Linked DNA regions of Oryzias latipes. The protein of the gene in region 1 binds, or shares a complex with, the protein of each later gene. Links are inferred from orthologs where the notes say so. Each region holds a gene or a part of one and is shown in the gene's direction. Other genes may lie near its edges. The genes, in order: b9d1, mks1, tctn1, tmem67, transmembrane protein 216, cep290 and tmem107.

Region 1 (4,100 bases):
GCTATGTAATTTGCACTTCACTCAATATTTAGTCATCAGCTTATCTTCATACCTTGTGTCCACTTCCTCTCCAATTTTGATTGCTCCTCTTCTCCGGTTCTTTACTAATTACCCCCATCTCCTTTCTGCCATATATGCTTTTCCATGTTCTTCCCCACATATCTGGAAAATGTGACTCCCTGGTTCATCATTATTAGAAATGACATTTTGTGACCATTAAAGTGTTTTCTCTGCTGCTCCTCTGTTTTTCTTGATCCATTTTTCAGCCACTCATATTTGGAATGAATCTGGCTCTCTGGTGAAATCGGTGAAGGCCTCTTTAGGGACTGATTTCCATTATATCTCTGGCAGAACTGACTTGAACAAAAAGGGGAAAAAAATCTCTGTTCTCGAAAGAAGTGTGAAGTGTCACTATCAATCACGAAAAGGGACTTAAAGGAGGTCGCAGATGCCGGATGGAGGGGGTGTTTCCTGTTCATCTCATCATTTTCATCATTTATGGCTTCATATTGTCACAGAAGGGTTGTGCAAAGCAGTTGCAGAGAATCATGAGCCCTTGTGGACCAGATGACCTCTTTGAATTGACCAGCTGAAAACATGGGCTGCTGCTCATTAGACTCTAAATGAGGGATTTGGCAGCAAGGAGGAGGGAAGAGGAGAACGAAAGCAGGTCAGAGGGACGAGGAGGAAGTCACAGGAACAGGGCGAAAAAGTTGTGAGGGGCCGAACAAATATTAGAAAGGTCGGAAAAAAGAGAGAAGGAAGGAGGTGGACGAGAACTGAAAACAATGGAGAAAAGCAAGGATGGGAGAGAAAGAAGTTAGGGGAAATTGGAGCAAAGGATTCAATTGAAAGTGGTAGAAATTGAAAAAACACATTTGCAATGTATGTATAATTTATCAAGAAAGTTTTCGCTTAATATAAGGGCTCCAAATGTGTAAAAGATGTTGATTAATTTGAGAAAACATAAATCTTTTCATTGATACAAATTTCCTCAATTTTTTCCATAATTTTTTTATTCATAAACCAAGCAAAACGGTAGTCCGAATATCAACAAAAATGACGGTGTAAAAAAAATAAAATAAAAAAATAACAATAAATGGACAAAAACAAGGCAAAATGCCGCTTAAAATCACAATTAGTTTGATACAGTTCGATTAATTATTGTTTTCTTGTTAATGCTTGATGACATCTCCTTATGTGACTTTAGTCTGCGGCATTTAATGAAGCGCTTTTCTTTTTAACAATGCTGTCATCTTGTGGCGGTAAAGGTTCTTATTTTAACGCGCTCTCGTTTTGTTTGACTCTGGCGGGTTTCCGTAGGGAAAAACACGCGTTGCCTTAGCAACGGCTGCGAGTTTAATCAATTTCCTCTTACAAACGGGTTTAAAACTAGCGTTAAATGATAGTTTGTGAAGGAATTAAAGAAGACGTTAATAGATGGCTTCGAGTAACCCGTCGTTGTTCCTTCTTACTGTAAACGGACAAATAGAGGGAGCGAACGTGAGTTTTGCGGCTTTGTCTTAGCATGTTAGCTAATATTTTAGCTAGCTTTAGCCACATCTAGCGAGCTACAGATATTTTCCCCTCGTTTGATTTCTTTTATTACTCTAAAATGTTTTCTGCTATTTAGTTTCCAGAGTATGACAGCCTTTACTGCAAATACTCCTACGTTTACGGACACGACTGGGCCATTACGACGGTGAGTCCGCGTCTATAGCCGTCTGATAGGGGCATATTACCCATAATTCCTCATAAAACAGCCTTTTTTAAAGTATGCGTGGTTTGGTTGTTTTTAATTTTAGGCTTTATTTATTGCAGGGTCTAGAAGAGGGCATCACCCAGATCACCTGTAAAAGCAGTTTGTCACGGACTTTAGTCTGGAACTTTCCTCTGGAAACAACGTTTAAGAGCACCAATCCATCTGGATGTGAGCCTCACAAAAACCCCCACAGACTGAGTTTATGATGAATCACTTGATTATTCAAGGATTGCGTTTTAAAAATGATTTTTTTAAATTGTTTTTGTCTTTTAGGGCCTCAGATTGTGATCAGTGTGTATGGACCTGATGTGTTTGGCAATGATGTGGTGAGGGGCTATGGAGCGACCCACATCCCTATCACACCCGGACAGTAAGTCTCACCTCCATGAAACCTCTTCTTTGTCTTTCCCCTTTAACCACAGGTTGTTGTTTCTCCATAGACACACTAAAACCATTCCCATGTTTGTTCCCGAGCCCACATGGAGACTCCAGAAGTTCACAGGGTGAGGCGTTTTGCTGTGAAGACTAAAGACAGCAGCTGAGCTCTAATCGAATGTTGTCCCCTCCCCTGAGTGTGGGGGTTTGATTCCATCAAAAACCCAATAATGGGTTTCTGCGGTGAACATGCTTCCCATTAATATCTATTACTTCCTGTTAGCATCATGTTAGAAAACCACAGATTGTAATTCATTAGAAAAAAAGATATTTTTAGGACCTTAATTTAGCTGAACCCCACTATTGGACAAACATTCTTTTCCTTTTTTATGTAAAGTAGGTGTATTGCTCCTCTTGTGCAGTCTCTGGTTCTTGTTTTGTCAAAATGTTATAAATTTAAAAGCAACTTTCCTCAAAATTTTGGGGAAAAGCAACATAAATGTAAGACAAAACATTTTTTCATCATAACTTTTTAAAAGTACTAAAAAATCCCCCCCCCTCCCCCCATTTAGCTGGTTGCTAGGGCGAAGACCGGAGTACACAGACCCTAAAGTAGTGGCGCAGGGTGAAGGCAGAGAAGGTACGTGAGGAATCTTTTATTTTCCTACTGCATCAAGAGTCGTTCACTTTGAAATGTGTCCCAGAGGTGCTTCTAAACCAAATCAATTATTATAAAAGTGTTTATTTTAAACCCCCCCATCCTTTTTTTTACTTATTTTGTATTTGAAATGACAAAAAGACTAAAGTCCCGCTCTGTCGTGTTTGTTCTGCAGTAACAAGAGTTCGTTCTCAAGGTTTTGTCACCGTCTCCTTCCACATCACCACCAAAGACATGAAGAAGATGGGCTACGACACGGGACCGTCCAACCCCCAGACTGCTGGTGGCGTGGACGCTTTCTAACACAAGCCTCAAATCTTTTTATACATTTGTACTTAAATGCATATTTCTATATATATTGTTTTGCAGAACAGTTTTTTTAATAAACACCAAGTGCTGCATTTGGTTGAAAGACTACACAAAAGCAAAGACAGTGGAGCTGCAGTGAAACCTTTTATTTTGAAACGACGCAGCTACACCCGCCCTCCTCCATCCGCCTGCTGCGCTCGTTTGTTTAGATGCCGTTAAAATACCACAACGACTTTTCCTACAAAATAAACCCATTACACAGAATGATAGGGAATAGAGAAAAACAGTATGTTACAATAGTACAAATGATAAATTATATCATACAGTTATAATGCCAACAGGGGGGGGAGTATAAATCCAATAAACATTTTTAAAAAAAGAAGCAGCCTGCACCCAGTGCTATGAGAAAGTAACTGGACGCACATGAAAGAGAAAAACCAAGAGTCTGAATATGTATAGAAATACAGCCTGTAAGGTCAGTCGGTCCTCTTTATAGAAGCAGAAACACAAGAGCTCACTACATTTCGCCTTTATTTTCTATCATTTGTCATTGCCTAAACAAATGCAATGATGTTTTATCTGTTCAGACTGGAAAAAATATTGTTTTAAAGTGTTACTCTGTAGGAAAGTGGCTTCCTTGGTGTTTGTTCCAGAAACATTTTTTTAGTAAATCTTATTTTGAAAAGACAAACGTAGCATTGAGCTTCTTTGTTTTTTTTTCTTACTCAAATATTTGCATCTTTTTTGTCAGAGTGAAAAAAACATTCGCTGCAGAGTAAATATCAAACGCAGCTTTAGCGATCCCTCATTTTAAGCCTAATATATATGTAATAGCATAGGTAACCACGAGGGGGCGCCAAACCACTCCGAGAGAAAGCTCCCACTGTAAATGCTGGCAAGTCCAACTGAAGACAGAGCTGACTCAGAACACAGCAGGTGCAGATCCCTCTTTTTCCTCCAATACCATCAGAGGTGGAGACGCTGCACCTACCGGTT
Region 2 (3,500 bases), on another chromosome or scaffold:
TCTCTACCTCTGTGCCGGTCCCAAGCCCGGTTGCTTTGAGAGGCTTGCGTCAGGAAGGGCATCCGGCGTAAAACATTGCCAAGTTTACCATGCGGCTCGTTCGCTGTGGCGACCCCTGATGGGAAAAGCCGAAAGAGAAACAACTTGCATGTAAGAGACTAAACCACTTTTTTGAGTGGAAGTTGTTAAACCCTCAACAAACTCTCCGTCTACAGGAAGATGTGGCTTTCTTCAGCTATCCCTTCACTTTTGAGGCTCTTTATATGAAGCAAAAAGACGGTGAAGGTTAGTATCAGCTGTTAAGTATTATAGCATAGTTTATGTTTTATGAATCCAGGTTTTATCTTACTTTAGAAGGCATTCCTCAGTGGCCAGTGATTTACTTCAAGGTTCTTTCCTTGGACTTCTGGCAGCGCTATCGAACGGAAGGCTATGGTTATCTGCTTTTTCCTGCCACGCCCGGTACGATGTATTTCCTGAAATCTCATTTAAATTCAGTTTATTTTGTTACTGTTCACATTTAATCAAGGGATTTCTAAATGGTTAGTGTTTCTACATCTTGTTTGTGTTTGTATACCAGGTAAACATACCATGACATGTCACACATGGAGGCCTGTTCAGACAGGGACTGTGTCTGCAATGAAGCGCTTCTTTATTGGAGGTTCTGCTGAGCTTGAAGATGACAGTTATGTCAGAACTCCAGGAACATTCAAGGTGAATCAAAGCTGGCTCAAACAAAGTTTTAGACAATTGATGTTGATTTTTATCAGGTATAAAGTTAAATAAATATGTTGTGATTTTATCGATACATACTCCTTGGGCAGCTGGGTTTCAATTGTCAGTTGAAATTGAGTCAATCCTAACTTCAATAAAATTATTGATTCTTCCATTTCTGAAATACATTTTTGTGAATATTATTTGTCAAAGCAAAAATTAAACGTTTTCTTTTTTTAAATCACTATTTAAGTAATCCAAAAAATTGGACTTAGGATAGAAATCTGAAAACAAATTGATGATTATTTTAATTTTTGCTGCTATATATTGAATTAAATTGTACACTTTTGAATAAAAAAATCAATAATTTGCATTTACTGTGACATTCTGGTGGAAACCATTTAACGGAGTGCAAATATCAGAATAACCAACAGACTTTGAAAAAAATGATTTCTTTGGGTTTTTGATAAACAGGGACTTGCTTTTGATACATGATTGAAACAAAGGTGTTTTAGTATTTACAGTATGTGTATGTTTTTTGTTGTTATTCTCTAACATTTTTGTATCAGGGGGACAGGCTGAGTCGCTTTGGTTTCTGCACTGTAACCACAGGAAGCGTCACTTTTAACCTGCACTGCATCCAGCAAGCCAGGTGAGTGTCAGGTAAGCGTCAAACAGGTCTCAGTCTGCCAGCAACATAACTACAGTGGTCTTTTGTGTCCGTGTGTACATTTCAGGGCATTTGTGGATGCTGCTGTTCTGAAAAGGAGGAGACAGAAGGTTTTTGAGCATTTGGGAGGATTTAGTCAACAAGGAGCTGTTTGCAACATTCTGGGTAAAAAAAAACAAAAAATCCATTTGACTTCCAAGCCTCTTTGCACTGAAATTCTGGAGGTCTGAACTTTATTTAGGGATCAACATTTGTTGGGCTATTGGGATGCAATTAGGATTTAAAATGTGCTGTATTTAAATGTTAATAATAGTTTCATTTAACACGTTTCATGTTTTTCTCTGTCAGAGGCTTTTCAGAGAGCGAGGAAAAAGATGCAGGAGGCCAGAGAAAGTTTTCCGAGAGGCGTAATAAACACTGGTTCCCAACTCCAACAGGAATCCTCAGCATGAGACTGAAAACCAAACTTTCAGTGGGACTGAGTGGAAGAAGATCCTGGCACAGACTCAGAATTTTGCAAAGATGACTCTCTAGTGACCGGTCCAGTGAGCATCTGTGGAACATTTCATGTTTTAAGGATTAATAAGTCACTTTGTCAGGTTGTAATGATGCAAAACATACATCAATCCACCAAAATGTGGAAAAAGTGACCACACCTGCCTTAGAAACTACAGGCAAATTTCACAGCAGTTTTTAATGGCTAAGGAACTTGTTGAAAATCCACTCGGGAGTTTTTTTTTGTTGCAATTAACTCTTTTACAAGTTCTAAGCTGCTTTTCACCTCCTGCCCTCTACAGAAGCTGCTGCGCTCATGTTCTGCCAGTACCTACTGATGTACGCAGATACGAGAAATGTTCTGGTGCTGTTTAAATCTACTAAAGCTTACTTTTTACTGTCAGAAATAGCCTAGTGATTAACAGAATGAAGCTGAATTAGCCACTAACCAGGAAAGCCTTTGTGTCGTTTCCCTACATCAACGGGTCTATTTGGGGCAAAACAGAGACTCTTGCTTCATGTCCCTCAAAAGGATCTTCTCAGAGCTAATCTCAATTTACCTGACCCTCTGCTGCTTTACTTTAACCTGGTTCCATGAAGCACCATACCAACTTTCAGTTAAAGACATTTAGCTTTTTTCTCATTTAAACTCAGTTAAATTATTATTGATCTGCCCCTTAACAGTACAAAACTATTGTTACAGTCTACTGTAAAAATAGAAATTGAAATCCTCCTGAAACATCTTTTTCACAAATCAAGCAATCTCTATAGTCTTCTCCTTCTTTTTAGAGCCGGTCTTAAGGATCTCGTCATTCTCATTTGATCAGCCTATGCACAATTTATGCATCTGTTCTTTTGCTATACTTGATACAGGGATGAATGGTGCTTGGTTCAGAATAGGATTTTAAAAACGATGCCAGTTTGGCTAAAAGAGATCATGTTCTCAGGATTACTGTCAGGAAAAAAAAATCAGCTGATTTTAATTTGTTGGGGTAGTTTTTGCATTTTATTGCATATAATTCTACAAATAAATGTTTTTGCTACAAAATATTTGAAGTTTCATTGTTGTTATACATTTGTTATTTTAATTAAAGCAACATCCTTTTTTTTTTTAAAACAAACCCAACTTTTTATGTCATTTTTATAATTTTGAAGCCACACTGTATATAAGTTACAGGTGAAAAATAAAGTATTGGTTTCATGGATTGTGGTAGTTGACCCTAATGGGCTTTTGATAAAGCTTAATTGATTTCTTTGCTGTTTGTATGCTGTTTCTCAGTGAATATCAAATGAAAAAAAAATAGATTTTTATCTTTTGTGAAGCGTCATTTAGTTAAGAAACTAATGCATTTTATTTTTAGAGAACGTGTTCTTTGATTTTATGAGGATTTACAACACTGACCTAGGTTAGAAAGGCTTTTATGTGCTTGCAATTTAATCTTTAACTATGTAAAAAAGATTGTAATTTGCATTTTTTTCTTTTAAACTATCAATAATATAAACACCTGCAGTCTTGCACGTTTACTTGTTAAAAGTAAGATGCTCTGATAGTTTAAAACAACAAAACAACTAGCAAATAAAAACACCAACATGAACATGGCTTAAAAAATTGTCATTAATT
Region 3 (4,245 bases), on another chromosome or scaffold:
GTCTATTAACAGTCGACTGAGAATACTACAATTTAAATGGTTAATGCGTTTATATACAACACCAGTGCAACTAAATAAATATAATAAGAACATACCAGATGTTTGTGCAAAATGTGGATTTAAAGGCACATTGAAGCATTGCATGTGGGAATGTCACCAAATACAAATCTTTTTGGAAGAAGTTAAAATTACAATAGAAAAAATAATCTCAAAACAACTTACATTGAGCCCTACCCTATTTCTTTTGAATATATATCCAGTGAAACATAATTTTAGTAATACAGAGAGTACATTTATTGATATCAGTTTCTTAACGGCTAAAAGGTGTATTGCACAGGCTTGGAAAAACATGAGCAGACCTAGCATAAATCAGTGGCTAAAACAAATGTTGTATTGCCTTCCTTTGGAAAGAATAATGTATATCCATAAAAGCAAACAACACCTATTTGAGGAAATTTGGGGACCCTTTATTAATTATATTCAAAAATTAGAACTAATAGATGATTCAACAGATTTTTGATCTCAACTGCACAGAATTTTGCAACCACAGTTTAAAAGCTTTTGAAAAGGAGAGCTGTGATGGTATCATGTAAGAGAAGCAATGTTCGTTGTTAAGTTTTGTTTTATGTAATTATTTTTATTTGTTTGAGTGCAGATATTTGTTTTGAGTGAAATGTCATACAATACAGTTTAGTTTTTTTATTTTTATTTTTTTTTTTTTTATTATTTTATTTCCTTTTTGCTTTTTGTCTTTTTATAAGGAAAACGTAACTGGTATTATTGAAGTTGCTGTGTTGTTATGACTAATTCTTTAAATAAAAAGTTGTGGAAAAAAAAAAAAAAAATCAGATTATTTAATGGTGGTGTGTCCCTTCAAGTTCTCGTCAAGACTAAATAAGTCTGTTGTTCTTTAAATTTGCACGTTAAAGAGGTCTTTCGCTTTAAAAAGAGTTATTTTCTTTGTTTGTTTATTGTTTAACCCTTGTGCTATCCTAGGCACTTTAACATTGGGAGTTGGGTCATCTAGACCCACTAGACAGTGCCCTGAACCTTTTTTCTTCAATGATTTGTGATCTTCACTGGTGTCCATGGATTACATGAAATCTTTCCACCTTTATCCACCTTTGTCATGGTAGGGAGAACACGTCAATGGAAGGGGGGGTCATCTAAGATAGCCCAAGGGTTAAAAAAGCCTCATTTCAACTTGTCTTATAAAAGTAAGACTAAACATGTTTTATGAATTATTTCGTTTGTTTATATGACTAAATGTTATATTCAGTCTGATAAATTAGAGATTAAACTTCTACATATTTCCAATTTTTTCAGAATATCACAGAAACAGCACAGTGATCAACAAAATATTGTTTGATTTTTTTTTGTTTTTTTAGGGATAACAGTTAAATGTGTTTCAGGGACCTTGCATTCATGCAACTGACCGGTAGGTGGCAGCCTATACGAACTGAAAGCCCACGAGCAGAAGCGAACAGCCGAAGAAGAGCAACAACCATAGCAACGGTCTATAACAAGTATGGCGGCGTTCGTCTTTTTAGCTTCGGATTTTTTTTTTATTTTCCTTTTGATTGTTACTGTAAATTCTAACGAAAATTCGACGAGCAGTTATTTTAACTCGACTGCGTGGGATGACCTAAACTTCACATCTGGAACGACGTTTGTTGCATCCACGGAGTCGACGGTGTTGAGCTCAACAACCCGGACCTCCAGCGGTACGGAGCCGCCGCCTCTGCCCGCCGAGCCCCTGCCTGTCTCCGGCCGCCTCCCCACTCCAGTGACCGCTGGTGCGTGTCCTTGAACGCAACACCGTTTTGTTTTGTTTTTGTCTAAAGTAACTCTATTGACGTTGCAAACAGTCCTTAAATTATTTACTTTAACCGTTTTTAATCTTTTTGAATTGCTTGTTCATTTTCTCAAAAAAACCTGCAAGGACCAGGTTATGCAAATGCTTTTCTGCAACTTTGAGCAAAACTTTCTTTAGTTTTTACAAGCTAAGAATCTCAGCAAAATTTGATGAAAGTGAATTTTTAACATAGTGAACAACATATTTCACACATACATCACCAGGTTAAGTCTAAAACCACAACTTTCATTGACCTTTGACCTTGCAAAGAAGCCCCCATCTTGAATTTTTCTTAAAACAGTTCTCTAGTTCACATTTAAACGCTTGGCTTCTACGTCCATGACCCCGTCGGGAAGCTACTTGGGGAAAAAAATCATTGGTTTTAAGGTTTGCAGATTATGAACAGCGTTAGCGTGGTGAGTTTGCAGAAGTGGCGTTTCCCTGTTTTTTACGGGAGCATTGTGAAAATCTAATACATTAATCGTTGGCCCGAGCTAAACAAAATGATATGTCATAACATATGTACATATTAGGAATGAGGGCGTGGTTAGCACATAACCTCCGTTGCCAAGCAAATCTAAAAATTTACTTTTGCCGATCTTTCTAAAAGTTATATAGATGCGTCCGTCACCCCCAGGCGATCAAAAAATTGAATGGTTGCCATGGAGTTAAAACTGACAGAAAAGCCACCAACTTTTTTTTCCCATAAATTTGTCCCGGGCAGCTCTGACCAGGCTTGCAGGGACAATGAGGGCTGTGAAGCAGTGAGGGCCGCTTTCACAACTTCAGTCATTATGTTATTAAAGTTTAAAAAGCAGCTTCATGATCAAAATACCAACATTTAAGGCTTCAAGATTCTGTGCTTGTTGTTGTTTGTAATCCTTTTTTGCTGCTGAAATCAAAAAAGGTGACCATTTCTTATTTGATATTTAAACTTCTCATCGGAGGATAGTTGAACTCTGACCTTCTGACCTCAGCTCTGTGTTTCAGTCGACACGCTGTGTCCCTGTGATGAGCACACGGACGCGTGTGACATCAGCTGCTGCTGTGATGCTGACTGTCAGCAGGAGGTGGCGCTGTTCACCAGCTGCTCAGTCACTGACGTGAGGTGAGTTTCAGCCGGAGGGAATCAATATCCAACACACTACTGCCCACCCATACGTTCAGGGGAACACATGTTTGCTTCTCATGACGTTAGGAATGTCAGCCGTGACCCATCATGCTTTGCCAGTCCACACCGTTATGGTTCCTGTTTGAAGAAGAGAAAAAATCGTTTCTTTTAAACCCACAGCTGTGACTCAAAGATCTGCTTCACCTTTGTTGACATTTTGAATATTTGAATGAAATGAGCTCCTAAGTGCAGATTAAGGAAACTTTCCATTTTTATACATATATAAGATTTTTTTTTTTAAAAGACGGGGAAAATAGGATCATTATGGCTCATTTACCTGTTCACAGGTAAAATCACCTGAGACAGCAGCACAAAGACAGCAGACAAGCTCAAAATTAAAAATAAATACTCCATAGTGCTTCATTTCTGGCTGGATTTCTGTTTTGGGTGTTTTAAGTCAGATTTAATCTCAGTTTTTCATTGTTATTTCTTCACTCACAGTGACAGCAGGCAGCTGTGCAGCCGCGGCGTGGCGAGCTACGCTTTGAGAACACGAATTGACGGTTTTTCCGAGCTTCTCACCTCCATCAAAAAGGAGACAAACTATGACCTTTTCTGCATCCATTCATACAACCGTGAGTCAGAGCTCCTCCTGAAGCTCATGTTTATGTTTTTACACACATTCTGAACAAAATTATCTGTATTTTAAACTTTCATTTAAACAAAAAAAAAATCAATGGATGATTTCTGAAAGTCAAGCCTGCAGGTTTCTGTCACATTTCTACAAATATGTCAGAATGATGTTGACATTTAGTTTGTCTTTTAAAAATTAGGGCTTTATTCGAGAAAAACAATTCCAGAAACAGCCAGTTTTTTAAGTAAAATCTGCTAACAGGAGCTGTAAAAACAGCAGAATTCAATTGTCTTAAATGCCGAAAATTAACTCATTCAAACACATTTTCTTCAGAAGTTTCCATATTGAATTTTTTATTTAATATTTTCACGATATCTGTTTTTTATCTAAGCCTTAGGATTTCAAGAACTTCATCCACTTTCATATTTATTTACCTTTTTACGTACAATTTAAGGAATTGAGACAGACGCCCAATTTTCTGCTTTTATTGTCTTTCCTGTCAGAAAATCTTCTTTTCAATTTATCTCTTTTTTTAAAATGTTGTTTACTACATTTCTCCATCTGTTTTGCAAATGTTAATTGAACTTTGTTTCCACATTGATTTTTTTTGCCGTATTTGCAAACACTCTCACATACCTGAAAGGT
Region 4 (4,154 bases), on another chromosome or scaffold:
CAAAATCACAGCTTCCATTTTGCCTTTTGTTGAGGAAATGTAGTTATCAAATATATAATTTTTGAATAAAACACAGGTTTGTATAAAATATGCTGCAAAAAAAGTAAGTCACACAGTCAACCAAAGTTAGCTGGGTGATAATACACTTGAAGCCCCTGCAACTGCTTTGAAGTCTGACATAAACAATAAATCACACTAATAAGCTGCACATATTGGGGCATGATGTGGTTGTACTTGAAATGGACGAGTACTGGTGATGAACTTAAATTGATCTTAGGTCACACTAAACCTGGTTGAAGTAAAAGTGAAAGATTTCCTGTATACATCTATGATATTTAGATTTAAAATTGGCTATCTGTTTTAAATGTGCTAATAAATCTTCTAAAACCTGAATCAATGTTACATTTCTATATTAAATGCTAAACCTTACAAAATAAAATTAATGCACAAAGATTTTCACAGCATGGAGACTGACAAAAAAACATCAGGTCCAAGCTGAAGTTTTTTTTTTCATTGATTGCATCTTCAGGAAGGAGCTTGATAGACCTTCACAATAACCTTGATAAAAAAATAATATTGCAAAATAATTTAGTCTGAGGCTAAGATGATATGTCTGGGTGGATGGTTTGAGGAGGCAGATGTCGTCTGCAAAGCAAAGTGTTTCTGGGTCATAAATTGACTTCTTTGTGACCCAAAGACGGACCAGCTGAAATGAGTGACAGAAAAAGAAAAGTTAGATTTTAATCCACAATAGCCTCTGGTCTTTGAAAAAGAAAGCTTTAAACTTTCAATTAAAATTGTTTCACTACGAGGTCAAATTGGTAAAGATCATTCTGCTATCTGTACCCCCCCCCCCCCCAGCTCAACTCAAAGTCTCTGTTGTTTCTGAATGTCTATGTAATCAATAGCAGAACATCAACAAACAAGAAAAAAACTAGAGCTAAAATTAAAATCACTGAGTCGAAAGTCACAAAAATATACTTATTTTTACTTGTGGACAAGGTTAAGTATTATAGTCAAATATACACATACATATATATATTGTTGCTGGAAGAGGCAACATTAATCCTTAGAGCTGCCTATATTTCGTTACAGAGAATCCCATTATTGTTATCCTCTGTTAAGACATCTTTTTAAAAGTATGAATGAAAACCATTATTATTTGATTTAGTCTATGAATCTTTGAGATTCTTCAAAGAACTTCAAAGAGTTTAAGAGTTGTCTTTTTTTATTCTTTCACAACATTAGTGATTTATTTATTTATCCTCACGGTGTCTCCAAGATGTTCTCTCCCCAAAAGAACATTTTAAACTTTTTTTTAAGTTGGAACGCCCTACGTCATGACGTGTTGCAAAGGATTGTGGGTAAAAAGGAGGACATTTTTACCATGGCGACGGGGACGCCGCTTGTTCTTGACAGGCAGATGTTTTGTTTTACATTGTTTTATGTGATTCATACGCACCTTTTCCATTGCCAGCAGTTTCTTATCCCCTTTAAAGATCCTTCCGGATGTGGTGTGAACGAATTTTTCGACATCTCGAGTTTGTCGTGTGCCAAATGCGGCGCAAATCAACGCAAGAGTTCTTCAGGTGGGTATCGATCACCACGCGATAAAGCTACATGATACAGTGTACACACTGTAAACATACCAACATTAGTGTATATATCTAAAAATAAAAACAGATAATTACATTCAAACGAGTTAAGCTCCAGCTGTTGAACAACCTCGAAGAAGTAAAAGCCAATTTGGTTCTAATTGTTTTCTGTTGCTAGCAGTTAAGATAGCCTTTACTTTACTGTATCATGTACATAAAGAAATTATTCTTAAAGAAAGTTTTTGTTAATCCAAATAATGTTTTAATATGTACACACTAATATATTATAGACTATTTAAGATTATTTAAAGTTTAAAACCTTAACCTTTAAGAACATGTTATAGCATGTGGTCTAAAAATCATATTTTTAGAAGTTTAATTGAATTACCATAAATATTCCCTAACTTGTATAGGAAAAATGGCATAAAGCTAAACAAGCAAACTCTGTTCAGCTTTAATGTTCAGAACAAGCTAGTCTCATTTCATTTTTCATGAAACAGGAAAGCTAATCATTTTTATTCTAAACTGATAAATGTTTCAAACTAGTTTAAATAAATGTACACTGACTGTTCTTATATGGACCTGCTTTGAGAGGCCATATAGGATTGCACTATTAATGTATGATTTGTTTAAACATACTGTTGTATCTAGAGAGACGGTGTGAATCTGAATTGACCCTCATCAAAACATCAACCAGCCTCTCTGGGTTTCTTTCTTTTTAAATTTAAATTCAAAATGCACAATATAGTTGTTGCAAGGATTTTTAAAATAAGATTTTTATTTAACTAAATATTAGTATTTCCTTTCACCATTGAAAACAATATTATTCTAAACTATAAAGAAATGTCTTGTCTTATATAGGTCTGAGCTGCATTTGTCAAACGGGTTACAAGACCAAACATTTTAGCAGCAACAAAGTCCCGTTTACATGTGAACAGTGTCCCCCAGACAAGCCTGTAAGTATAGCTTTCTTTCATAATGAATGTTCTGATTCATGTTTTTTAAAACTACTTCACAATTGAATCACTTAGTTCAAAAGGGGCCCAAGTCCACAATTTTTCAAAATAGAGACATTATATGTTCTATGGTCTTCAAGGGAAAAGCTATCTGATTATGTGCAAAAAGTCCCAAGTCCGTTGTAATGTACTGTCTATACTTGACATTTAAAATGCATTAAGTGCAAAATTCCTGAACTTGGGCCTTTCTTGCATGGGTTTTGCTTTATCCCATAGATGGCAGCACTAATTATCCAATATGGCAGCGCCCCTGTCAATGCAAGGGTGGGGTCATCTAAGATAGCACAAGGGTTAACCCTTGTACTATCTTAGATGGACACCAGTGAGGTTCAAAAATAATTGAAGAGAAAAGGTTCAGCGCACTGACTAGTGGGTCTAGATGACCCAACTCCTTAGGATAAAATGCCTAGGATAGCACAAGGGTTAATTCAAGAAGGGCCCAAGTCCAGAGACTTTAGTTTGCTAGTCCTCTGAAATTATAAAAGTGAGCTGCTTCATATTATAGCATTTGTAAGCTATGAACTGGTGCTAAATCTGGGTAAAGTATTAATCATTTAGTGTAGCCCCCCTTTAAGCTATGCAATTAAAATCATTTCCTGGATTAACAAACCTCTTGGACTTGGACCCCTTTTGAACTAACCGATTCAATTGATATAAATAAAAGTGCTTATTGGTGTCCTGTCCTTTATTATAGGCAGTAACGAAAGACGGCTTTGGTTGTATTCGCTGCCCCGGCAGACTTGATGATAATGGCAACTGCCAGTGCCCATCTGGAAATATCCTAGGTGAGTTACCAGTACAATGAGAGGTTTACAACCCAACAAAAAGGGTTTTCCCTAAAAGCTGTAAATAAGGGTAATTGTAAGTTTTTTGGTAGAAAACTTTTATAAATTTTTCTTCTTTTTCTCAGTTGAAAGAGACATTAATGGCACATTTTTTGATGAGGCCAGTTGTGAAGCATGCATTGGAGACAGCCCTGCCTTCACTGCACCAAACAGTAATGGGGACAGGTAATTATATACAGTACAGACTTAATATTCATGAGAATTTCATTTAACATATTTTACTTAATAGAAAACTCTAGTTTTCTGAGAGGAGGTGCTTTGTGCTACATTTGCACTGTTAAATAAAAATATTTAGGGATTTACAAAGCGGAGCGATTTTCATTATATTGCATAGTGGGTCATCTTTACTTTAGTGGAAATGAAAAATAAAAGTCAATAAAAAAGTGATTTTTTTTTTGTTTTGTTTTAGTATAGGGCAAAACAAATTTGACAATTTCTTATATTCTTGTTGTATCTACAAATATCTATGAAATCTTTTTTAAACTTTTGCTCCGATTTTCATTATTCAAACAAATATAAAAATAGTTAAACATGTATGATTTGTTGTATTTCCTCATATCTTTATCTCTGAGTGTTAATATTTACTTTTGTGTTATAAAATTGTGTTGTGTCATTGAAAAGTGTAAATGGGTAGTTTCAGCAGGAATGTTCAAACTTTGAGTTTGCCCAGAAGTTGTTCTGGACAAATCTCAAACGTT
Region 5 (4,199 bases), on another chromosome or scaffold:
AGGTGAACTCTCTGCGGCAAACAGACGGCGGTTAAAGCCGTGGGTGTGAAGGTAAAGGGGCGGAGCTTACGCCGACCGCCTCCTCACCAGCGTTCCTCCCACAAACAGGGAGAACTTGGAGGAGTTGGAGTGCAGGCAGATCTGGTGCTCTCCGGGCGTGTGCGACGTGAAGGTGAAGCGTCCCTCCGAGCCGTACTGCCGAGACAGGATCACCTGCAGGCGAGGGAGGAGCTTAGAGTCCACTCCACCAAAACCTCCACAGAAGACTAACAGCAGCAGCTCCAAGTCCTCCTCTGGATGTTTACGGAGGTCAGGACGCGGTTGCCGTGGTTACAGAGACCATCTAACGAAGAGACCTTCCTCAAAGTGAGCATCACGGCACTAACGTGTCAGGAGGACCTCCTCCGGCGCTTACCTTCTCGTCAGGATCCTTGACCTCCACAAACATGCCCAGACCCGGGCTGGCCGGCAGGTACTCCTCCTTCTGCTTGTCGTACAGCTGCGTGCGGTAGTTTCCTGCACACAAACACAAGCGCCCCACAGTCAGTGACAACATCCGGCTGAACGCAGCACTTCCGGTCCTTGGACGCGCTGGTCAGGACCGTTGGACCCGCTTTCCCGGTTCTGCAGGAACCTCAGGGAGCGACCGGTCCCAGACAGCTCCTTCAGAACGAACCATCATCAACTCTGGTCCGGACCTCCACCTGCTGGTTCCTCCTGGAGGAGCTGCCTGCCCATTCTCCAGGAGAACCGCTTGGGTTCCTGGTCTAGGTTCGGGGAACGGGCTGGATTCTTCAGGCGGTTTGGTTTGTTATCCGCGTGCTGATAGGATGAAGTTAGCTTAAACCGTCCTCCGTTCCCCGGTAAAAGACCGATCCTACATCCTCACCAACTTCTACTACGAGGTGTTCGCCAACGTCTCCGTTCATCAAACGGTTCACTAACTACTTCTGGCGGCGTTGGGAAACTTTTTGACGGCGAACCGGAACTTTGTGAGCGTTAGCCGCGCGGCAGCTAGCTTAGCCGCTCACCGATGATCATGGTCTCGTCCGGGATCTCCTCGATGAAACATTTCTTCTCGAGCTCTCCGATGTGGAAGTAGAGCGCGGGCGCGCGGCTGCAGAAGAGCGCGAGCAGCAGGAGCGCCAACACGCACGGCTGCATGCTGATCCGGACCGAACCGTCTTCCAGCCGGAACCACCGAGCTCAGACGGAGTCTGCGCGTCCGCAGCAGTGCCACGTAAACCCTGGCGCGCCTTCGACCAATCAGAGCGCTGCGATGGCAAGCTGGGTATTGTAGTTGTGTGCTGGGCAGAGCGGATGACATCAGAACCAGATTGTGAAGGTTCCTCCTCCTCCTGGAGTCACTGTGGGTTTTTTAATTCAACTTCAAAGGATTACACATTCATGTAACTACAATAGAAAGACATAACAAAAGAAAAAAAGAGTAAGATACAAGACAAATAAATAAATAACATTAGAACCGTAGTTCAGAGAACTAGGGATTGTCATTTAACATGTGATCTTCAATGAAAATTGACAGTTTTATTGCATTTAAAATATAAACAGATCTCTTTATGAAATGTATTGAATAATGATTTGATTTGTAAAAATCTGCCTTTTATAGATGAAAAATTTCCCAAAAATTAATAAAGTATTAAATGCCAAACTAAATAAGTTATCACCAGAAACGACTCCAAATAATACAATGTGTAATACAATGTGTTTTGTAACCAAATAGAAATAAGAAAATTTGAAGAGAACCACCAAAAGAAATCCTCCCAAAACCTGTTAGTATTTATACATTTAATAAACAGATGATCAAGTGTTTCTATGTTGATGTCGCAGAAAGAACAGTTATTTTCTTTAAATGAGGTCTCTGAGGGTCCAACAGGAAACAGCAACAGAAACCCGCATGTCACGTGATTTCAGACCATTGATGATAAAAGGTAACATCGACTAATTATGTATTTAGAGTGATTCAGTGGTGAAACTGAAGAACATCCATTAATAAAATAATGTGAAATTGTTTCAAATATTAGTGTCTTCTGTTTGCTCATCCTGACCAGCAGGGGGCAGCACGGAGCCCCGCCTGACGCTGTCCAGGGAAGAAGAGCCGTTTCCATAGCGACCACAGCGGCTCAAACATGGCGCCTGGTGAGTGTTTTCTTATCATCGTCGCAGAAAGAACGGCGCAAAAACCGCAGGCCGTCTTTCCCCGTCATTTTTCTGCAGCTATCAGAGACGGACGGAAACACTTCCGGTCCGCCGTTGATTTCCGGTTAGCGGCTAAAAACATTCCCACTCGGTGTTTACCTCTGAAACGTTCTTAAACCACCGTCTAAAGCTAAAGATAATCCGGTCCAACAACCGTCACGTCTCCTAAACGCTTCTTAAGCCTCACGTTCAGTTTCACTCTCAGTTTGACAACATTTTTGTCTCACCGCGTCTGCAGGGAGCCGACCAATCGTATCCTTCTGCTGTCAGAGGGGGCGGGGCCTGTCCACCAGCCGCAGTTGTCCTTGACCACGCCTCCTCAGCTGTCCTCCACGCCTCTGCAGGTGCTGCTCTACCTGAACAGCTGGTACTTTGCCGCTTTCTACCTGGCGGAGATCCTCATGTTCATCTACAAAGGTGTGTGGCCCCGCCCCCCTGCAGGTTCACCACGGCTTCACCTGAGAATGAAGCCGAAGGTGTCGTAGAACCTCCAGCCTGTCCTCTGTTCCTCTGCTGGACGTCATGGAGGAGCGTCTGACGGTTGCTGCTGGTGTCGCTGCAGGGATCCTGCTGCCGTACCCGTCTGACAATCTGGTCCTGGATGTGGTCCTGCTGCTCCTCTTCCTCGCTCTGGAGGCTCTGCGCATCTTTTACGGTGACGCCAAACACAAACATCTGCTTTGCTTTCTCCAGAACCGCAAGTGCGGCTGAGAGGTTCTGGAGAACAAAGATGGAACATGCAGGATGAAGAGGATGCAGACGGGCCTGACATTGGTGCTGGATGAGCTAACGTCAGAACAATCACGGTTCTATGCTAGCATGGAAGTGTCAGAAAGACCAAGAATGTGGTTTTCAGATTTAAAAAGGACTTCAGAGCATGAAAGGCATGCTGGGATGTGTAAACGATGATGATGCTGGAGATCAAAGCAGGAAGAAGCTTGGTTCCGTGTGTGAATGTGTGACCTTCATCGTTGTGTTCGGAGCTCCGCCTCTGAAGGTTCTGTTGAAGCGGAACCTTCGGTGCAGAACCTCTCCACGCCCGTCTGAGCGGTGGTCCAATGAGGAGAGAGCGTTCTCACTCTTCACCTGGACGGCCTCCCAGACGGAGGTGGAGGGTTCTCCTCCTGGGTTCCAGGGTTCTGTCTGTGGAAGTGACATGACCCCCCCCCCCCCCCCCCACGCCAGAATTTATATCCAGCTATGAAAAAATGATCAGTTGTGTTTTTGCTTTCAAGTTGAGGCTAAATGAAAGTCGGTTTGAGGAGGAGTGGTTCTTCCTTGCACCAGTGGGCATGAAGGGGTTAAAGCATCTCTGCAGACGTTTGCTGCCTGGAAACATCAGACTCAAACCTGCGGCGAAGCGTTCAGCCGCTCAGGCTCTGTGCTGGTTCTCAAGGCCGGCTGCAGGCGCTGACGCTGTCCCCCTGTGTCGATTCAGGCTGGAAGGGGAACCTGTGTGAGCGCTCCCTGACCTCCTGCCTGTCGCTCTTCATCCTGGTCTCTTGTGCGGCGCTCGCCGTCTACTACCTGCTGCTGCAGACCTTCGTTCTGCGGCTGGAGTTCCTGCTCTGCGCCGTCCTGCTCTGCTTCTACGGCCTGGAGTTCCTGCTGGGATTCATCGCCTTATCTTCCTTCTCCAGGTACCCTGAGCCCGCAGGCCGGTTCTGAGAGCCGGGAAGTCTTTGACCCTCGATGTTCTTGTGCAGGTCCAAGGTGTACTGAGGACAGAAGAGCGGTTCTCTGGAGCCCAGAGGGACACCAGGACAGTTGTTAGCATATGTGCCGCTGACACAAGTTTCTGTGATTCTTCAGGGATTTTTGTAAATAAACATTTTTCTGCAGCTTTGTGAGTTCTGTGTGTCACCAAAATCAGATGAAGCCGGCCACGGGCCACTAGAACCTCCACAGGTCTGAGTTTCAGCTGGAAAACCTTTGATCTGTGTTTGCATGAAGGCTGTCCGTCCTCTTTTCTTAGGAATCAC
Region 6 (3,500 bases), on another chromosome or scaffold:
TGTCTCCAGGTGCAGAAACAGGCCTAGATAAAGAAGGCAAGGCAACAATCAACAATGAAATGGTCTCTGCTGCGAGAAGGATCACCACTTTAGAGATGAAGGAGCTGAATGAGAGGCAGAGAGCCGAGCATGCCCACAAAATGTACGAGCATGTGAGGAACTCCCTGAAGCACGTGGAGGAGCGCAACTTGGAGCTGGAGTCCAAATTTGCCAAGGTAGGAAACTTAAAAAGGAGACGTAAAAATGTTTAGGGAGCTAAATTCTTGCATTGTAGCCAAAAATATCCATCTTTGTTTGTAAAATAATTTCAGTGTTGTTATTATGCATCATCCAGAACCTATGGGATCAGATTTCTATGTCAACATGTTGGTTTGTGACTCTAACAGACACAGGGCACATGATGCATGTTCAAGAATGCGCTAAATGAGAGTTCTGAAACGTGCTCAGGGAGGGGCTTCTTCCTTTATTTCTTGTTTTTCTGTTTACCAGCACATGTCTGCCATGTACAATTGGAAGAAGCTCAATGTGAATTATCCAAACAGTGTAAATTTCGCATGTCTTTCTCCATGCTTTTTTATTCACAGCTCTATTCCAATTTATGAAAGACTTGGTGTCATGTAATTCCAGCCCGGCATAAATGCAATCATTCATTTGTAGGCCGCGGTGCAGAGCCAGAGCTGCCAAACTATGACCGGAAGATTACAGTGTCAGTTCCTGCCGTGCCAACCCATTTGTCAAAGTGTCCTTGGGCAAGACACTGAACCCCACGTTGCTCCTGGGGGTTAATAGCTGGTGCCAGTGTAGTGAAGCCGCTGCCGGTGTGTGAGTGAGTGAATGGATCTGAGGCTGTGCAGTGCTTTGGGCTGCCTAAGAAGGTAGAAAAGCGCTACTTAAGCTTACGCCACTTACCATTTTCTCCATGATCAATTTCCAAACGGTTGGCACTTCCAAAAATTCAAGGAGACATCATCCATACGTCACTACCAAGTCTGAGTCCCTGATTTGTCAAAGTTCAACATGTGTTCAATGGCCACACGTTTAGCACATGGAGCCCAAACACAGTCGTAGAAACATGTAGCTATGCCTACACGATATGCACGAGGGTTTTAAACACAGTTTGACTTTACACAGACTTTTCATCGGAAGTGACTGCTTGAGTGCACATCCAAGGGCGATTTTGTACATAGCTTAACAAAGCTTAGAAACTGGACTGTTGTTTCTCTGTTTGCTCTTGATGTTTTCTTAGATAGAGCTTGATTCTACAATGGCTTTTATCAAATCCTTTCTTTGCTTTTTTTTGTTTAGTTGACCAAGATGAATGCTGAGGCCCAAAAGACTGAGCGAGAGCTAAGAGATGAGTTGGCGCAAAGCATCGGCAAAGCTGTGAGCGATGCTGACAGGGCCAGGATCGCAGAGCTGGAAAAGGCTGAGGTGGAGCTCCGGACTGAAGTTTCAAAGTATGTCCGAGTATCTCGGTATTAAATCTATCAATATGCTCTTATCACGAAAAACAAGCTGTGTTGAAAACTACGTAAGCATTCCAGCCATTAATCTGGTGATAAATTTTAAAAGTTAGAGTTGTTTGTTGAGTCTGGTTTTTTAGATAAGTTCTCCTGGCTGTGGTTTTGATGGGAGAAGCTGGAGAGTTTTTCTTGGGCTATAATCAACATTTGTTTTGGAATCGTGAACATAACAGCCTCTCAGCATATTTCTTTCCCTGTTTGTAAAAAGTGAAAATCTGATCTTAGTGCTGAAGTACTGATTATAGATCCATGTTCTCAAAGTAAAATGAGCTTTTCTGTGCTTTTGGATCAACACAATCCCCTGTGTCTGTAAATCATTCGATCAAAGACACCTATTGTTTTCTGTTATTGCTTAAGTTGCACTCAACATATCTTATTCTTTTTGACAGGCTTCAGGAGGTGTCAGAAGTTGCTTTGACTCAGGTTGCTGCTTTACAGGCCAGACACAGGTCTAAAGATAAAGAAGTAGAAGCTTTGAAGACACAAATACTAGATTATCAGGTACGTGAAGTGGTTTTTTTGCTTGGGGCTCTACTACACCAAATGATCTATAGAAACCACATCTGTTAAAGATGAAAATGGTGTCTTTAACATGTTCTTTTGGCATTTTTTTCTGTTGATTGAGGATATATATCAAGAAAATTAAGCTTAAAATTGCATTTCTTAGTATTTCCTTATTAAAATCGTTTAGAATCAGGAGCAGACAAAAGAATACTGTTTGAATTGTGGTTATTAAACTACAATATCTTCTCAGTCACAGTCAGATGAGAAGGCTCTGATCGCAAAGCTCCACCAGCACATTGTTGCTCTGCAGCTCAGTGAGTCGGCAGCTCTGGAAAAACTGGATTCCTCCACAACTCGCATCCATCAGCTGGAGGCCCACATCCTAAGAGCTGAGCAGCGTCTGGACGCCGCCGAGCGCTCGCTTTTCCTCGCCCGCCAAGAGGCCAAGAATCGCTCGAGGCATCTGAGGCAGACCATCCAGTCACTACGAAGGCAGTTTGCTGGAGCGCTGCCACTTCCTCAGCAGGAGAAGTTTTCTGTAGCCATGCTGCGACTCCACGAGGACAGAGTGAAGGCCCAGGAGGAGATGAAGAAAGCTGAGGAGGAGAAGCGGAGGGTCCAGGGAAGAGCCGAGGAACTGGAACTGAGACTGCAAGGCCTACAAGGGCTCATGTCAACTCTGAAGGATGCAAAAGGAGCACAGAAGGTTTGTAGAAGAAACATATGAGCCTATTGACCTATCTTATGCTCACTCTATACACAAGTATGCTATTTACACAGGTAACTGAGTGGCACAAAAGGATGGAGGAGGCTCGACTGCAGGAACTGAGAAAAGGAAGGGAGCTGGTATTCCAGAAAGAGGAGATCAGGTACCTGAAGAACCTTGTGGGAGAGCAGGACCAAACCATCCGCTCACTGGAAGAGGAAATTGTTCAGCTGCAAACAGTGAGAAAATAAAAATCTCCAGACATTTTTAAACTGGCTAAAACCTACTTTGTTAATATATAGAATACTTTGGCTTTATTTCATTACAAAGGTTCAAGGTTCAAGGTTAATTGCCGTTTGCACATACAGTACATTTGAATTTTTCTTTGGCATCTCTCAGGTCAGGGTGAATATAGAGCAAGACAAAATTTAAGAAGAGAACAAAATTAGATTTAAAAAAGTACAAAGTATAAAATACAAATAAATAGGAATATTGCAGCGTCCCAACCTTTTCAGAAGAAGAATTATTGCACTTATGTGGAGTTAAATTGTGTTAACAGTTTTAGAAGGAGGCTTTTTAACAGTAATTTACTTTTCGACATTAAGCTTAACGAAGAGCAACAGCTTGCAAGAGACCAACGGGAAGTGGAGTTGGAGCGCCAACTGGAGGACTACGAGAAGCACCAGAGTGAGATCGTCGGCAGTGTTGAGGTAAAGCATCGCTTACAGCTGGTTAAATCAGTGGTTTTTCACCTTTTTGGAGCTTGA
Region 7 (3,992 bases), on another chromosome or scaffold:
GGTTCCGGAGGGAGGTCTGGAGGAGGGTAGCCTCTTTGTACCAACACCTCGGCCGCGCACAGCAAACACACACTGTGCTGGCATGGCAGGAGGACGGGCTGCTTCACGATCTCGTCACACACCGGGCACAGCAGCTCCTTTTCCATCATCTTCATGTTGGACTGGAGAAGAGGGAAGAGGAAAGTTCAAGAAGACAACAGAGCTGCGACTTGATTTAAAGAAAGGAAATGATGGCAGTGATGAAGGAAATATCTAGATGAACTCTGGTTGTGTGCCGTTTATTGCACAGGACAAGAAGGAAAGAAGAACGTAACCTCCATGATGCTTAGCAGTCCTCCTGTGATTGCTTCACTGCTTCCTATTTCTAAGAGTAAATTGGCTGAGACATTATTTTTAATAAAAAAAAACAATTCAAACAATGCAGAAACATTCTGTTTGCCATTGATTGTTGCTTCTTTTTTTTTTAGGTTGTGGTGGCCCCTTTCCATTACTGCAGCCACAAGGCGCGGCATCCGGTTTCTATGACAACGCACATCTTCCTCTGGCCCTGATTTTATGCTATTTGGCAACATTCTTAGGTTCTTATATCTATTAAAAATGAATTATGTGGTCGTTGCGACTGTATATTTTCTATTGCCATTCACCACCTGACTGTGGCTTTCAGCCTATTCCGGGTTATTAAAGCGATGACAAAACATGTTTGTAAACGGTAGAAAAATGCTCCGCATTCTTATTTCATAGCCATGATTGTCCAGATCAACATACTATCAATAAAGCAAGTTATATGTAAGACTACATTATTGTTTTTCCTCTCTTAGATGTAGCACGTTTGAAATGGCTATATTAGAATAAACCGGCGTCGCACACTTACACTGATACGAACCAGCGCGTCCATGACAGAGGTAAAGGTTTGGAAGTCCTCTTCTGCCATGCTCTGTTGTTCTGATGTGCACGCTTCCAAAGAAAAAATGTTTCGTTTAAAACGATTATTAAGTGGGTGTGAAAAATAATCCCCGGCTGTTTTGTAGCAAACACTAGGCCCTGACGTGCACAGATAGCTGTGCTTGAGGTGTGCTGCTCAATCTCTGTCGTCTATCCAAATGCGAATGGAATGGTTGCTGAAACTGGTGGAGGGGGGTGGGGGCGTTTTGCCCCAAAATGTTAGCTTTATCGGGGAGCGTTTAAAAAACATTCTTTTAGAAAATAAAAACAAAAAAAAATCGGCTTTTCTACGTTCTTTAGATACGCGAGGCTATGTTCATCCTACAATCACACGTTAACTTTGTCATGTTTTATTTTTGTGTGTGTGTTGTCGTTAGATGCTAGTGTTGTGTGCTGCTTAACAACAAAGGCGATGGGTCGCATCCACTTCCCTTTTGTGTCCGGAACGTTTGGAAGGTGGATGTTTTTACGGGTCGCAATATTGGATGCACCCAGCCACTGGCTGTTGTAGCAACCCAATGCGACACCGGGGTGTGTTAAATTTCTATGTATAATTTTGTTTAGAAAAAAGACTATTAAAGAGTAAAATTTTAATTTTATAAGTTCATTGGCTTTAAAAATGCTTGATTATCATTTTTGGATTATTTATTGAACCGCGGTTGCGTTGATATACCGCGAACCAGGAGCGACGACTGTTGTGTGAGATCTGTGAACTCCAACGTGACCGTTTGGCTTTAAAATTTAGAATTTTCTAGCATTTCTGACACTTCTGTGAACCAGAAACAACATGTCTTCTATTAGCAGTCTAATTCCTGCGCGGTTTCTCACCATCATAGCTCACCTTGTCATCGTCATCACAATCTTTTGGTCCAGGGTAAGTAAGGACAGTCCGTGTTGTTGTTAAAGCTTGAAGGACGACTCAAGCTGCCATAGAAATATTTTTTATTATTATTATTAATATTATTATTGTTTTTTGTAAATATCAATAACGTGTAGTTTGTGATTTTAAAATAAAGAACAAAAGTTTTTAAAAAAATCGTGAAATAGAAATAAATTCTACTCCACAAAATATTTTTCCTAAACTGCAGAAATATAGATTTTTGTTTGCTGCAAAAAGTTTATTTCTCCTTTTTTTTATAAACAATTTTTTATCTAGAAATGTTACCATAATCGGCTATTTTATGTATTTGTTTCTGTTTTCTAGGAGAATAATGTGAAGGCATGTTTGCCTTTGGAGTTTACTCAGGAGCAGTATGACACAGAAGACAGAAAGTAAGTAACAAATGATTGAAAATATATGAAAAAATCTTGAATGCTCACATTCTAACCCGCATCCCTTTGGTTATTGTTCAGGTTGGTTGTAGCCTTGTCAGCCACTCTTGGTCTGTTTGCTATCGAGCTAGCAGGCTTCTTTTCAGGAGTCTCCATGTTCAGTTCCAGCCAGGGTCTTCTGTGTATCCTTTATACTGACAGTGATGATTCATATTTGTCATGGTCATTGATACTGAACTATTGATTCACAATTGTGAGGAAAATAAAGATTTTCAGATATTGTCTTTTCTCCAGCAGCTCTAGCTTCTAAATGAGCATCTGGTTTATAGCAGAAAACATGATTTACAAGAATAAATGAATGGATTAAACAATGCTTATTAGTCATTAGTTACAATTCCGTAACTAAGAACTTGTCTGCTATAGCAACAGGAGTCCATGCCAGTGCCTCTGTGGCTTTGCTCTTTTTTCTGTTTGAGCAGTGGGAGTGTGACATCTACTGGTGGATCTTTGCTATTTGCAGGTTAGTCTTTTGACGCCTAGCAAATCCGTTTTATCCTTTTTTCCCCAAAGTTTTCCCTGACAGCTGCTCCTTTCAGCATTAGCTGTCCACTGCTCCGCATCCGTATCTTTGTCTTTCTTTGTGTTTGAACAATGGGAATGCTGGACTTACTGGGTGATTTTTGCCACCTGCAGGTTGGTTCGCCTGCATGCTTGTTTTCAATGAATAGTTGGCTTTTAGAAAGACAGCATACTGTAACAGTCACTCTTATTTTGAAGGAATTTGAATGCATTTAAGGATTGTTCTTTTATCTTTCTGGATTTCTATTAATTTCTTTTTCTATTTCTCATCTTTCAGTGTCTTGCCAGCTTTTGTGGAGATTCTTCTGTTTATTGCGGTTTTTGGACTGAAGAAGAAGCCGTTATGAAGAGGAGTTGATTCAGATTGAATGGATGAACGCTTCCATTTGTTGCTACAAGACAGTAGCTGCAGAAATTCAGTTATTAGATCACCTTAAAAAGGGGCCAACATTGTTAGAATTTCTTCAGCAGGCATCAATAGATCCAGAAAGAATGTTTTTTTTTTCAATCTTTGTAAATATATTTTGAACTATGTAATTACAAAAAATAATTATACTATGTTGTTTGTTTTGAATAAGTTGGAGAGTTAGCAAAAGTTTAAAATGTAAACCAAGTTTTTTGTTGTCAGTAGTGTATTTGTTTCTCATGTAAAGCTTTTCAACGCTAAATCCAAAATACATTTATACTTTTTTAAATAAGTCTTATTTCTCTCATTGTATCTATCTTTATCCTCATTTGGTGACTTAATTGTCAGAGAAATATTAACCAAACTGAGCCAGAAGATAAATTAAAGTCGGGCGACAAGAGTATCCAGAACCGCAAGGTTACAAAACATGAAACAGTAACTTCATTTTTGTGCAGCTATCAAAAAAAAGAAACAGTATTTAAAATTGATTTAGGGAGGAAAAATCCTTTCCTAAATTATTAATGTAGTGAGACATGTTGTAATATAGAAGAATTATGTCTATGAAGACTCTCTTTCATCCAGGTTGATTCCATCATAGTAGTAAGTTTAGGGGCTGTCCTCTTAGTTTTTAAAGTTAGAAAACGTTTCACCTCTTATCCAAAAGACTTTGTCAATTTTGTAATATAGGCTAAAAAAGAAAGGTTTTTTGACGTAATGATCCCTCCCTTCTGCTTTTCTGCATGCAGCTGCGGACAAACCATTGCAGTTGTGATAAACAGAATCAGGCCCTGCA

Evidence for each region.
Region 2: b9d1 (region 1) and mks1 share a complex: the UniProt entries of both Homo sapiens proteins name them as parts of the tectonic-like complex. The link is inferred for Oryzias latipes from reciprocal best matches to the Homo sapiens genes B9D1 and MKS1.
Region 3: b9d1 (region 1) and tctn1 share a complex: the UniProt entries of both Homo sapiens proteins name them as parts of the tectonic-like complex. The link is inferred for Oryzias latipes from reciprocal best matches to the Homo sapiens genes B9D1 and TCTN1.
Region 4: b9d1 (region 1) and tmem67 share a complex: the UniProt entries of both Homo sapiens proteins name them as parts of the tectonic-like complex. The link is inferred for Oryzias latipes from reciprocal best matches to the Homo sapiens genes B9D1 and TMEM67.
Region 5: b9d1 (region 1) and transmembrane protein 216 share a complex: the UniProt entries of both Homo sapiens proteins name them as parts of the tectonic-like complex. The link is inferred for Oryzias latipes from reciprocal best matches to the Homo sapiens genes B9D1 and TMEM216.
Region 6: b9d1 (region 1) and cep290 share a complex: the UniProt entries of both Homo sapiens proteins name them as parts of the tectonic-like complex. The link is inferred for Oryzias latipes from reciprocal best matches to the Homo sapiens genes B9D1 and CEP290.
Region 7: b9d1 (region 1) and tmem107 share a complex: the UniProt entries of both Homo sapiens proteins name them as parts of the tectonic-like complex. The link is inferred for Oryzias latipes from reciprocal best matches to the Homo sapiens genes B9D1 and TMEM107.

Annotation. Positions count from the first base shown.
Region 1 is NC_019866.2:15,984,757-15,988,856, reverse strand, and holds the start of b9d1 (B9 domain-containing protein 1), read left to right. Parts: upstream 1-1,300; 5' UTR 1,301-1,440; coding exon 1,441-1,503; intron 1,504-1,633; coding exon 1,634-1,702; intron 1,703-1,821; coding exon 1,822-1,930; intron 1,931-2,035; coding exon 2,036-2,132; intron 2,133-2,202; coding exon 2,203-2,265; intron 2,266-2,709; coding exon 2,710-2,777; intron 2,778-2,970; coding exon 2,971-3,098; 3' UTR 3,099-4,100. UniProt on the Homo sapiens protein: Component of the tectonic-like complex, a complex localized at the transition zone of primary cilia and acting as a barrier that prevents diffusion of transmembrane proteins between the cilia and plasma membranes.
Region 2 is NC_019872.2:25,021,724-25,025,223, forward strand, and holds the end of mks1 (Meckel syndrome type 1 protein), read left to right. Parts: intron 1-215; coding exon 216-285; intron 286-354; coding exon 355-462; intron 463-580; coding exon 581-714; intron 715-1,283; coding exon 1,284-1,366; intron 1,367-1,451; coding exon 1,452-1,549; intron 1,550-1,732; coding exon 1,733-1,836; 3' UTR 1,837-3,082; downstream 3,083-3,500. UniProt on the Homo sapiens protein: Component of the tectonic-like complex, a complex localized at the transition zone of primary cilia and acting as a barrier that prevents diffusion of transmembrane proteins between the cilia and plasma membranes.
Region 3 is NC_019868.2:27,624,984-27,629,228, forward strand, and holds the start of tctn1 (tectonic-1), read left to right. Parts: upstream 1-1,445; 5' UTR 1,446-1,528; coding exon 1,529-1,796; intron 1,797-2,845; coding exon 2,846-2,963; intron 2,964-3,467; coding exon 3,468-3,601; intron 3,602-4,245. UniProt on the Homo sapiens protein: Component of the tectonic-like complex, a complex localized at the transition zone of primary cilia and acting as a barrier that prevents diffusion of transmembrane proteins between the cilia and plasma membranes.
Region 4 is NC_019874.2:17,683,327-17,687,480, forward strand, and holds the start of tmem67 (meckelin), read left to right. Parts: upstream 1-1,354; 5' UTR 1,355-1,387; coding exon 1,388-1,589; intron 1,590-2,456; coding exon 2,457-2,551; intron 2,552-3,305; coding exon 3,306-3,396; intron 3,397-3,521; coding exon 3,522-3,621; intron 3,622-4,154. UniProt on the Homo sapiens protein: Required for ciliary structure and function. Part of the tectonic-like complex which is required for tissue-specific ciliogenesis and may regulate ciliary membrane composition.
Region 5 is NC_019868.2:30,553,169-30,557,367, reverse strand, and holds transmembrane protein 216, read left to right. Parts: upstream 1-1,399; 5' UTR 1,400-1,949; exon of another isoform or gene 1,950-2,072; 5' UTR 2,073-2,147; coding exon 2,148-2,157; intron 2,158-2,455; coding exon 2,456-2,469; exon of another isoform or gene 2,470-2,540; coding exon 2,541-2,634; intron 2,635-2,658; exon of another isoform or gene 2,659-2,739; coding exon of another isoform or gene 2,740-2,779; coding exon 2,780-2,872; intron 2,873-3,655; coding exon 3,656-3,857; intron 3,858-3,923; coding exon 3,924-3,939; 3' UTR 3,940-4,059; downstream 4,060-4,199. Other genes in the region: transmembrane emp24 domain-containing protein 9, read right to left, coding at 1-11, 88-213, 416-516, 1,032-1,164. UniProt on the Homo sapiens protein: Part of the tectonic-like complex which is required for tissue-specific ciliogenesis and may regulate ciliary membrane composition.
Region 6 is NC_019864.2:2,301,316-2,304,815, reverse strand, and holds part of cep290 (centrosomal protein of 290 kDa), read left to right. Parts: intron 1-9; coding exon 10-215; intron 216-1,305; coding exon 1,306-1,457; intron 1,458-1,912; coding exon 1,913-2,024; intron 2,025-2,277; coding exon 2,278-2,733; intron 2,734-2,807; coding exon 2,808-2,972; intron 2,973-3,338; coding exon 3,339-3,443; intron 3,444-3,500. UniProt on the Homo sapiens protein: Involved in early and late steps in cilia formation. Its association with CCP110 is required for inhibition of primary cilia formation by CCP110.
Region 7 is NC_019874.2:18,549,684-18,553,675, forward strand, and holds tmem107 (transmembrane protein 107), read left to right. Parts: upstream 1-1,422; 5' UTR 1,423-1,729; coding exon 1,730-1,816; intron 1,817-2,146; coding exon 2,147-2,214; intron 2,215-2,295; coding exon 2,296-2,396; intron 2,397-2,637; coding exon of another isoform or gene 2,638-2,734; intron 2,735-2,810; coding exon 2,811-2,907; intron 2,908-3,070; coding exon 3,071-3,140; 3' UTR 3,141-3,492; downstream 3,493-3,992. Other genes in the region: tripartite motif-containing protein 46, read right to left, coding at 1-161, 872-931. UniProt on the Homo sapiens protein: Plays a role in cilia formation and embryonic patterning. Requires for normal Sonic hedgehog (Shh) signaling in the neural tube and acts in combination with GLI2 and GLI3 to pattern ventral and intermediate neuronal cell types.